Nothobranchius furzeri: one gene and its partner. The protein of the gene in region 1 interacts with the protein of each later gene in a pairwise test. Links are inferred from orthologs where the notes say so. Each region holds a gene or a part of one and is shown in the gene's direction. Other genes may lie near its edges.

Region 1 (4,545 bases):
CTCATTTTCAAGCTATTTTGGGAGATATTAGGAAGTTAGGAAGTTTTGGGGGATGTTAACCTAATTTAGTAATTTAGCAATATTTTAACACAATTATCAATTGTTTGAATAAACGTTCTCCAGTTTGGTTTATTTGCTGTTATTTACCCTATTTTGTTGAGCATTTTTTTAAATAATCTATTAATACTGATTGTTATTGGAAATTAAACAAAAATATAAAATATAATTAGCTTTTTTGGGGAAAATGCAACTATTTACACCATATTTTCTGACATTATTTATACTTATAGTCGACTAAGTTATAATATATATGTGAGATTTTGAAAAAATATGACATAGAAATGTATTTTCCTCGGGAGTCAGGATATAAAATGTTAATGTACGTGAGCTCAGTGTGTGTGGAGCTGAACATTCCTGCCTTTTACCGTTTCAGCTTGACGCTCTCCACACACACGAACCAGTCAGCGGTGTCGTTTTTATCTTCAGGCAAAATGTGTATGAAAGCAGCTGGAGGCTCCTGAAACGACTCGTTCCTCTTGTGTTACGGTTTTACGCTTTATACGAGTTTATGTATCCTGTCACGGTTTCTGTGGAGAAAAAAACGGTCATTAAACACCCAGCCAGGACAGCTGTTGAGCTGAGTAAGCTAAAGAGCCGAATAAGCTAAAGCTAACGGAGCCAGCGTAGGCTAATATGCTGCTATGGCGCTGTGTCCCCCTTTAGTGCATTTGTAAAAAAAAACGCGTACATTTTGTTTTAGCATTGAAACGTTACTTTATTAATGACTAACAAAAACAGAACTGTCATAAACCCCAAGGTCTGAAGATTACATTTAACAACACGTAAAAACATTCCAACAGCTAAATTTGATAAGATAATTAATAGCGCCTCACCTTCTAATGTTTGTTTCCTTTCTTTCGCTGGCGGATCTAGCAACTTCCACAGTGCCGCGTGCCCAGTGACGGCAGCACCACAACACTCGTCTATCTACCAATCACAGCCTCTTTGTTTGTTACATGACGTAAGGTCACGTTTTTACCATTTCTGATCTGCAGTCAGTTTTTCGTGCTTGTGTGGTTTTGAGCAGCCACCGCAGAAAACAGGCAGCCGATCTCAGGTCGGCTTTTTCAACAGATGTGTTTTCGGCTGTTAAGAGAAAAAACTCCGTTTTTTGGATGAAGTAAAAATAATGCAAAAAAATAAATAAATAAAATAAAAAGTAATACAAATGAAAAGTTCCACCTGTGTTGTGTAACACAAAATTCGAAGTACTCTATGTAGCCAGTAGGTGGCCCTGCCTAGAGTCAGCGAAGTAGGAAGTTTTTTCTTCTTCTCCAGCAGCCACATCACTTCCGAGATCCAGAACAGCAACAAAAGACAGCTCAGGCTGTCTGGTGAAACTTCTGCCTACATTTTGGTGAATGATTTAAGGGTTTAGCATTTTGGCAGGTATGTTGTAATTTAAATTCTTATTTTAAAAACAAGTGAAAATTACGTTGACGTTAAATAAAATCCGGAAGTAGACGTAAACATTAGCTCATAAGCTAGCATTTTACATTTACATTCAGGTTTTAAATAGACTCGTCGTGAGTATAATATTTATATTTGAAATTGCTACTTCTAGACACTGTTGTTTGGTAACGAGAGTTTCTCGGTTATCCTGTTTATTTAGTGATGTGGCACTGGCCGGGCCCTGTTTCTACTTCTTCCTGTTTCTCTAACTAAGGATCGCCATTAAACTAGAAAGACATGTAATCATTAGACAGTGATTGTTTATACACTTGAGACCGTTTTAGATTATGACGTGTCAAATGTGGCGTTTTAAAATACGAAAAATCAAAAGTTAGCTCCATTGACATTTGCGATTATTGCTTTCAAAACAGCTTAAGAACCAGGGAGGTTTACTGGGAACACGAGGAATATGAAAGATAAAATAAGAAGTGTTGGGGTTAAAACATGTGTCTACAGTAGATCTGAAGGTCAATGAAAATGGTGCAGTTATAGAAACGACCATATGTCAAGTTTTCAGTCAATATATCTTTTGGAATCCGTTTTGTGTGTGTGTGTGTGTGTGTGTGTGTGTGTGTGTGTGTGTGTGTGTGTGTGTGTGTGTGTGCTAAAGTACCTTTTTTTAATTTCTCAAATTGTTTAATCTTTGGTATTTTGTCATCGATTCTAATTTAAAAAATAGGATTTAAATGTCCACTACACTACACTACACCAGTTTCAGAAATGTTTTATGCCTGAAGGATTTATAGACTAGAAATAAGGGGCTTCATAGGCAAAAAATAATAATAATAATACATCTACCAGAAAATGAGTGGAAACGCAACCAAAGTCTAAATAAGATGCTACACCGTTGCATCAAATAAAAATGAGTAAATCCAGGCTAATTGTTTTTGTAAAAGTTTAGTCCACATTCAATGTGATTCTGTTTCAGTCAACAGTCTCTAAATGTTATCTGGAGTGCCTAAAGGGGAGAACGTCATGGTGGACATGGACAGCAAAGCTGGAGATTTGTTCATCCCAGATGAGGCCCATCCAACCGGCACAGGGGGCATCGGAGTCCTCTCAAGGTGTGAACCACCATGCTTTCATATTTTTACCCTGGCTTTGGTGTGTTGATGATATTCTATTTTGTTTATTTTTATAGGCTCTGGCTTCCTAAAGGCATCTCGGCCAGCATGGCTAAGGAGTGGTTCGACAGGCGCAGGTTGTCCATCCGACCGTGGGCCAGCTTTGTAGACCAGCGCAAATTTTCAAAACCTCGCAACTTTGGAGAGTTGTGTCAGAGGGTGGTTAAAAATGTGGAAGTTTACAACAGCAACTATACCTTCATATTTCTGGGGCTCATCCTCTACTGCATGTAAGACCTAATCAAAGAGAGCTTCATTAAAACAAAAAATGTTAATTAGATCATCTGTGAGACTCTGGCTTCTAGAAAAATGTCGACAGTCTGCTTTAAATAGCTCCAGCCTGACAGCCCTGTTCATTTTTCCTGCTCCTCAGTATCAGCTCGCCCATGCTGCTGATTGCCTTAGCCGTGTATGCTGGTGCCTTCTACGCCATCCACCTTAAGTCTCTGGAGTCCAAACTGGTTGTTCTCGGTGAGTACATTTCCTACAAATCCATAATCTTTTCAAATTTACCAGATTTAGTTTTTTTTTTTTTTTAACATTCAAGGTCTATTTTTTTTTATTCTGTGTGAAACCTTTTAAATATGTCATCCATGCCTGTTCTGGATTTAACCCACGCTGCATTTAGCACCACAAACCCTATTTTTAATATTTTTCTTCATATTTCTTGTTTATCAGGCAGAGAACTGACAGTCCCACACCAGATGAGTCTGGCTGGAGCCGTTTCTCTGCCCGTTTTCTGGTTGGCAGGAGCCGGAGCCGCTGTGTTTTGGGTTCTCGGTAAGCTGAACATGATTTGTTCTTTCCTCGTAATCTTTTTCTGATGTTTCATCTTGATTAAGAACTAAAATCGTTTCTTTTTACATCCATTTTTCCTGTTCTGTGTGGTTTCCTGTCAGGAGCAACTCTGTTTGTGATCGGCTCTCATGCTGCGTTCCGAGAGTTGGAGGCGTCGGACCTGGATGAGCTCCTCATGGAGCCGGTCTAAAGAGCTGCTCCATGATCAGTCCTCGTTTTGACCCTTTGAGAATCTCCTTGAAGATTTTTTTATATCTATACATATATCCTTCTTCCTCATGTTTACCTTATGGCATTGTATTACGAATGCACCTTATGTTGCATGATAAATAACTGTTGTTACACAAATGCATAAATAATGAATTTCTTATTGCTTGAAGCACATTATTCGCCTTTATCTGCATATATTAAGCCTGCGATGCCTCTGGTTTGTGCCATGAAGCCTCTTGCTCTTTAGCGGAGCATCTGCGCTGAATTCCTAGCTGTGGGCATCCTGCAAAGTAAATTCTGACGGCACCATCCAAACTGCTGGTATCGACGCATGTCCGAAGGTCAAGTGCCATTTAGTTTTTTAATTAGTTTTGAACATTATGTGGCTTCTCTTTTTATTTATTTGATCAGCTCTGGTTCAGACATTCTGGTGGGAAAGGTCACGAAAAGCACATTTTAGAAATTCATTTGTAAATTATGCGTTCTGTGCTGAAACGTTGGAAGTGCAATAAATTCTGTTACTGTTACTTGTCTTTAGTTTTATTCTCGTAAGAGTTGGCGTGTACATGTGCACGCACGGGGCAGTCGCTGCGTCGGACTCGGTGGCCCTCGGCACATATTTCTGTATGTGTTGTTATTCCAGTCCAGTCTGAATAAGACAAACCCACGACTCCTCTTCTCCCTGTATCTCTTAAGTGCACCAAACTGCAGCGTGCACCCCCCCCCCCCCCCCTTGTTCCACCTCTTCACGCGACCCCTGTGACCTGTGCTCTGTGACAGCGCAGCAAAAAGACCCCGTGCTCAGGTTGCCATGGCAATGACCTTGGAGGGCCCCAGTCAGACGCACACTCGAACACGGGAACACTCGCTTACACACTGCGGCAAAGCCAAGCGATCGATA
Region 2 (4,535 bases), on another chromosome or scaffold:
TTACATAAACCCGTCGTCTAACAGCCTGAAAATGGTTTGCTGAAAGTCTTACAGACCATCTGGTAGAACAACTGAACAAACACACACCAACACACCCAGTTATGTCCCCATTCACCTGCTGGAACTCTGTGTTGTTTATATTTGCCTATTTTCTAACAGTCAATTATGTTTGTTCAGCAGCCCTCTAATGAGAGGGGAGTAGTCCCAGCAGGGTGTTGTACTGGTCAGATGGTTAGATTAAAGAAACTCATAAAGCTTTATTAGAACCCCACACAGTGACCAGACAGTGGGCCGAAACACTGGCGGGCCATTCAGAACGCCACACACACACACACACACACACACACACACACACACACACACACACACACACACACACACACACACACACACACACACACACACACACACACACACACACACACACACACACACACACACCAGACAGACATGATGTGTTTAAAGAGAGTCTGGAAACTACAAACATGACAGAAAGACGAACAGAGATTCTTTCAACTGTTGCTTTAATTGTTGCTCTTTTAATGCAGCCGACAAAGTCAGACTGTTCATGAGAGAAAACAAGATCATCATTTACTTTATTCAGCTTTACTGTGTGTGGTCAGTGTGGACTACAGACTCACATTACCTCACGTCTTTGGTATTTTACTCTATTTCCTCTCTTGTTTTCTTTATTTCATTATTATAACTTTATAGAGACTTTCATGGTTTTATATTTCTAATGTGGTGAGAATGACTTCTTTTTGTTTATATTGAATATTTTTGGTTAAATGTAACCTTCAGCATAATTGAATAAGCATATTGTGGCATCTGTAACTTGTTCCTGTTTTTAAGATTTTACGTTTTAGCATGATGGAATCTTCCAATCAGGTTTCAATCACTTATTTTATTAACATGTTTAAAACAACTTTCATTGATCAAAGCCCTGTACAATTTTTAAAATGTGAACAATACCTCATAAAGCAATCAAATGCCACGTGAAAGGATACAAACAGATAGAAATAAAATCAAAAGCATCGTGAAATCAAGCAGTCTTAAAAATTTGTTAGTTTAATATGTTGCTGTGTGAAATTAATTTTTTTTCTGATTTCCTGATTGGCAGATATATAAAATCCTATTTACTCGTTTTTTTAGTCATTTCATCTTCTCAACTAGTAATCATCATAAGGCATCATATTTCTTATAAATATTTAATACTGAGATAAAGAAAAAATGTTATGCAACTAGCTGGGTTCAAGAATCTAAACGAGTTCAATTATTTATGGATTGAAATCTTTAAATATTTTCAGAAATGAAAAGTTTTTAAACGTAACTAAAGGAGATTTTTTGTTATGTTTTTCAAGGCTGGAACAGAAGAATCTAACCATGTTTCCGTACGACACCATTTTAAAGACGAACCAAAAACCACAGGACCGCAGTTGTACGTCGATCTTGTATTTTTTTTAGTATTTTACTGCGCTGAACAGTAATTGTTGATGCTTTTTTTTATTATTAAGAACTGTAAACAGCTGAAGCTGGAAGAACGAGGTTAGCTAACTGGCCGCGTGACTGCGTGACTTCGTGGGTTCTTGACACATTGTGAAAACTGGGTGAGTTCAGTCAGTTTTTTCTTTTTTTTTTTGAATTATTAAAGATTAATTAAGTTTTTAAAACAATCTAGCAAACCCTAATAATAAATTAAAGGTACACTTGTAATTATAAGTGTTTCAGCAATATTTCAAATGAAGGTCGACATTTTGGCAAGTTGTCATGACTGAATGAATGTTAGTTAGATTAATAAGGTTATGATGAAGCACCCAGCCTGCAAATTTTATTTTTTTGCCCTGAAATAATTTGAGTGGTTTTAGGAAGTGAAATGTATACTTTTGTGTTTTTCAATAATGTTTTTCTTGAATAAATGTTTATGTGTGCTCATAGCGTATCTACACAAATGTTAAAACCCTTAACAAACGCTCTTATTTTTTTGGCCAACAGTAGTGAAAAATAACTGATACTGTGCTATATGTAACCAAGGTTTAGGAGAATTCTGTTTTTATATAAAATATCATTCCATTAAAATGTGCTTAAATAATTATATCTGACATAAATTAATTGAGGAAAAACCATCAAGTACGTCATTTATTGATAAACTGTCAAATAAATAAGACTTCATTGATTAAAAACTGCTATTTAATAGAATTTCTGTCGAAATATGGTGTTACTACGTTTCCCATGATCCCTCGAGAGAACCCGACCAATTGGAAAAATACCTTGCTTAATTCAAATGTGGTGATTAAACTTCCTGAGTTGAAAATTGGCAAATTTAAATTAGGTGAACAAAAATGTAATAACAAAGTACTTGGAAGTGCCGTAAATCCTCTAATACAGGCCTGTATTCAATGAACGGCCGGGTCTCATATTTTGGCCGGTGTCGAAGTCGGCGGAGGTGAATAATGGCCGGTCTCTTATTGTGGCCGGGTGGAATGTGGTAACAAGCAAGTACGGGGGGCGGTTGTGTCATCGTCTCACTTTTGATTTGCCAGTGATAGACCGCGAGGGTAACTTTAACCGTGCAGAGATGACGAGGAGGCGAAAATTTGATATTGTAGCGACCCCGAGCGTCTCAGCGGCAGGTTTATAGTCCCCAGATCAACCAGCAGGAGGAAGCAGAGGTTCACACAGACCTTTATTGGGATTTTTCTTCAACAGTTTGTAACGCTACAGACACCAATCCTCTTATCACGCTCCTACCACACAAGAGTCACGGTGTCAGTTAACCATGCTAATTCAACCCGCTCCACAGAACACACATCACCTTCCCTGTGGCTTACATTAGCATAACACTCACACAACACGCAAATCAACACATAGGAACTAGCAGAATGATAGGAAACACATATAACACAATACCCAGAATGCACCTGGCTTACAACCCCAGCCAGGTCATTACAATATCAAGTTCAAAGAGAACGTGCGCTGCAGAACACTGGGGAGCAATAGTCAACTTCACTATAGTGACTTTTTATGCCTGTCATCGACTAGTCGCTGTCACGTGATAATGACCGGCAAGATGCAGCCCTTGGAAAAGACAGCAGCCTGCTGTCAGCAGGTGACAAGCTCCTGCGCTCAGGGGGGGGGGGGGGGGGGGCAACGCGCTGTGCCAGAGCGTCGGTACTGACACGCGACACTGACATGTCTTTTATTTGCGCCTGATACGCTTCGCTGTGGAGCGGGGCGCATCACCTTGTCATCCGGTGACGCACCGATCACTGATGCGGCCACCAAGCAGCGAGCACTCCGCTGTTTTTGCGGTTGGTAGATCTGCGTCCTGAGCACGGCCACAGTAACATTATCAAATCAGGTGTCGCCACCTCAAAAACTAATTTGACACGCGATCGTTCATGTTGGTTCATTTCCTTTAATGTTTTCTGTCTTTTATTTGTGTCTGATGTGTTTCACTGTGGAGCGGGGCGCATTACCTTGTCATCCGGTGATGCACCGATCACTGATGCGGCCACCAAGCAGCGAGCACTCCGCTGTTTTTGCGGTCGGTAGATCTTTTAGACTTGCAGTTCAAAGGTAACTCATAGGGTGAATATATATGAACCCAGGTAGCAGTTTTTCTTTAGGATTGAGAGGAGATGCAGGAAGATAATAAACAGACAGGACAGAAAAGTGGTCAAATAAAAACAAGTTAATTTTTGTACCTGGTGGTTGCAACAAACAGACACCATTGAAGGTAATCAGAAGTGAGGAACAGAAAATGAAATAATTATTTTAATGTTTAGAGCAGCAGGAACTCCAAGAGGCTGCAGGCGCATCAGTGAGTTTGCGGCCGCTGCGCAAGGGGAGGGGGGGGATGGCTGAAGCAGAAACTACCGTTGTTAAAAGAAATGTGTTTAACTTTGAAAATGTGGGCGCAATTTTAACTGTCAAAAACTCCAGCGAACCATTAGTTCATTTTGCTCAAGTAGAAATAGAGGCCTGCCTCTAATTCTGGCCCTCCTTCCAATAAAGGCCTGGAGCTTGATGAGCTTGAGTCAAATACAGGCCCGGGCCTGTATTAGAGGATTTACGGTATGTTAAAAATAGTTATTCTATGATATTGACAAATCAAAGAAAATAAAAATCACAGGAAAGGAAACTACATTAATAAAGCCATATTGCAGCTATCTTGAATGGCCAATTGCACCCAAGTTGAAAGAAATTCAGTTCAAAATAATACATAATATCAATCCTGCTGCCGAAACATTAAGAAAAAGATTTAATTTTGAAGTGAACCAGTGTGTCTTTTGTACGACAGAATGTGAAACTATTGAGCACCTTTTCTTCTCGTGTTCAGTAACAACTGATTTTTGGGAGGATGTTTATCGATTATTAAATATTGAGAGAAATGATGTATGGCTTAACAAATCTAAAGTGTTGATCTACATGGATGCTCTGCCAAAAAAGATGTCCAAAATGGTGAACATTATTTTCATCATGGGAAAATACCATACACATAAAACTAAATGGAAAAACAGCAAGCCTAACATTAA

What was found.
Region 2: the proteins of rabac1 (region 1) and dusp12 interact in binary tests that used the Homo sapiens proteins (3 or more experiments, as listed by UniProt). The two-hybrid records come from large-scale screens. The link is inferred for Nothobranchius furzeri from reciprocal best matches to the Homo sapiens genes RABAC1 and DUSP12.

The regions. Positions count from the first base shown.
Region 1 is NC_091745.1:74,794,839-74,799,383, reverse strand, and holds rabac1 (prenylated Rab acceptor protein 1), read left to right. Parts: upstream 1-1,314; 5' UTR 1,315-1,449; intron 1,450-2,440; 5' UTR 2,441-2,454; coding exon 2,455-2,576; intron 2,577-2,653; coding exon 2,654-2,866; intron 2,867-3,009; coding exon 3,010-3,107; intron 3,108-3,314; coding exon 3,315-3,416; intron 3,417-3,535; coding exon 3,536-3,624; 3' UTR 3,625-4,171; downstream 4,172-4,545. UniProt on the Homo sapiens protein: General Rab protein regulator required for vesicle formation from the Golgi complex. May control vesicle docking and fusion by mediating the action of Rab GTPases to the SNARE complexes.
Region 2 is NC_091751.1:58,771,979-58,776,513, reverse strand, and holds the start of dusp12 (dual specificity protein phosphatase 12), read left to right. Parts: upstream 1-1,374; 5' UTR 1,375-1,438; exon of another isoform or gene 1,439-1,514; 5' UTR 1,515-1,607; intron 1,608-4,535. UniProt on the Homo sapiens protein: Dual specificity phosphatase; can dephosphorylate both phosphotyrosine and phosphoserine or phosphothreonine residues. Can dephosphorylate glucokinase (in vitro).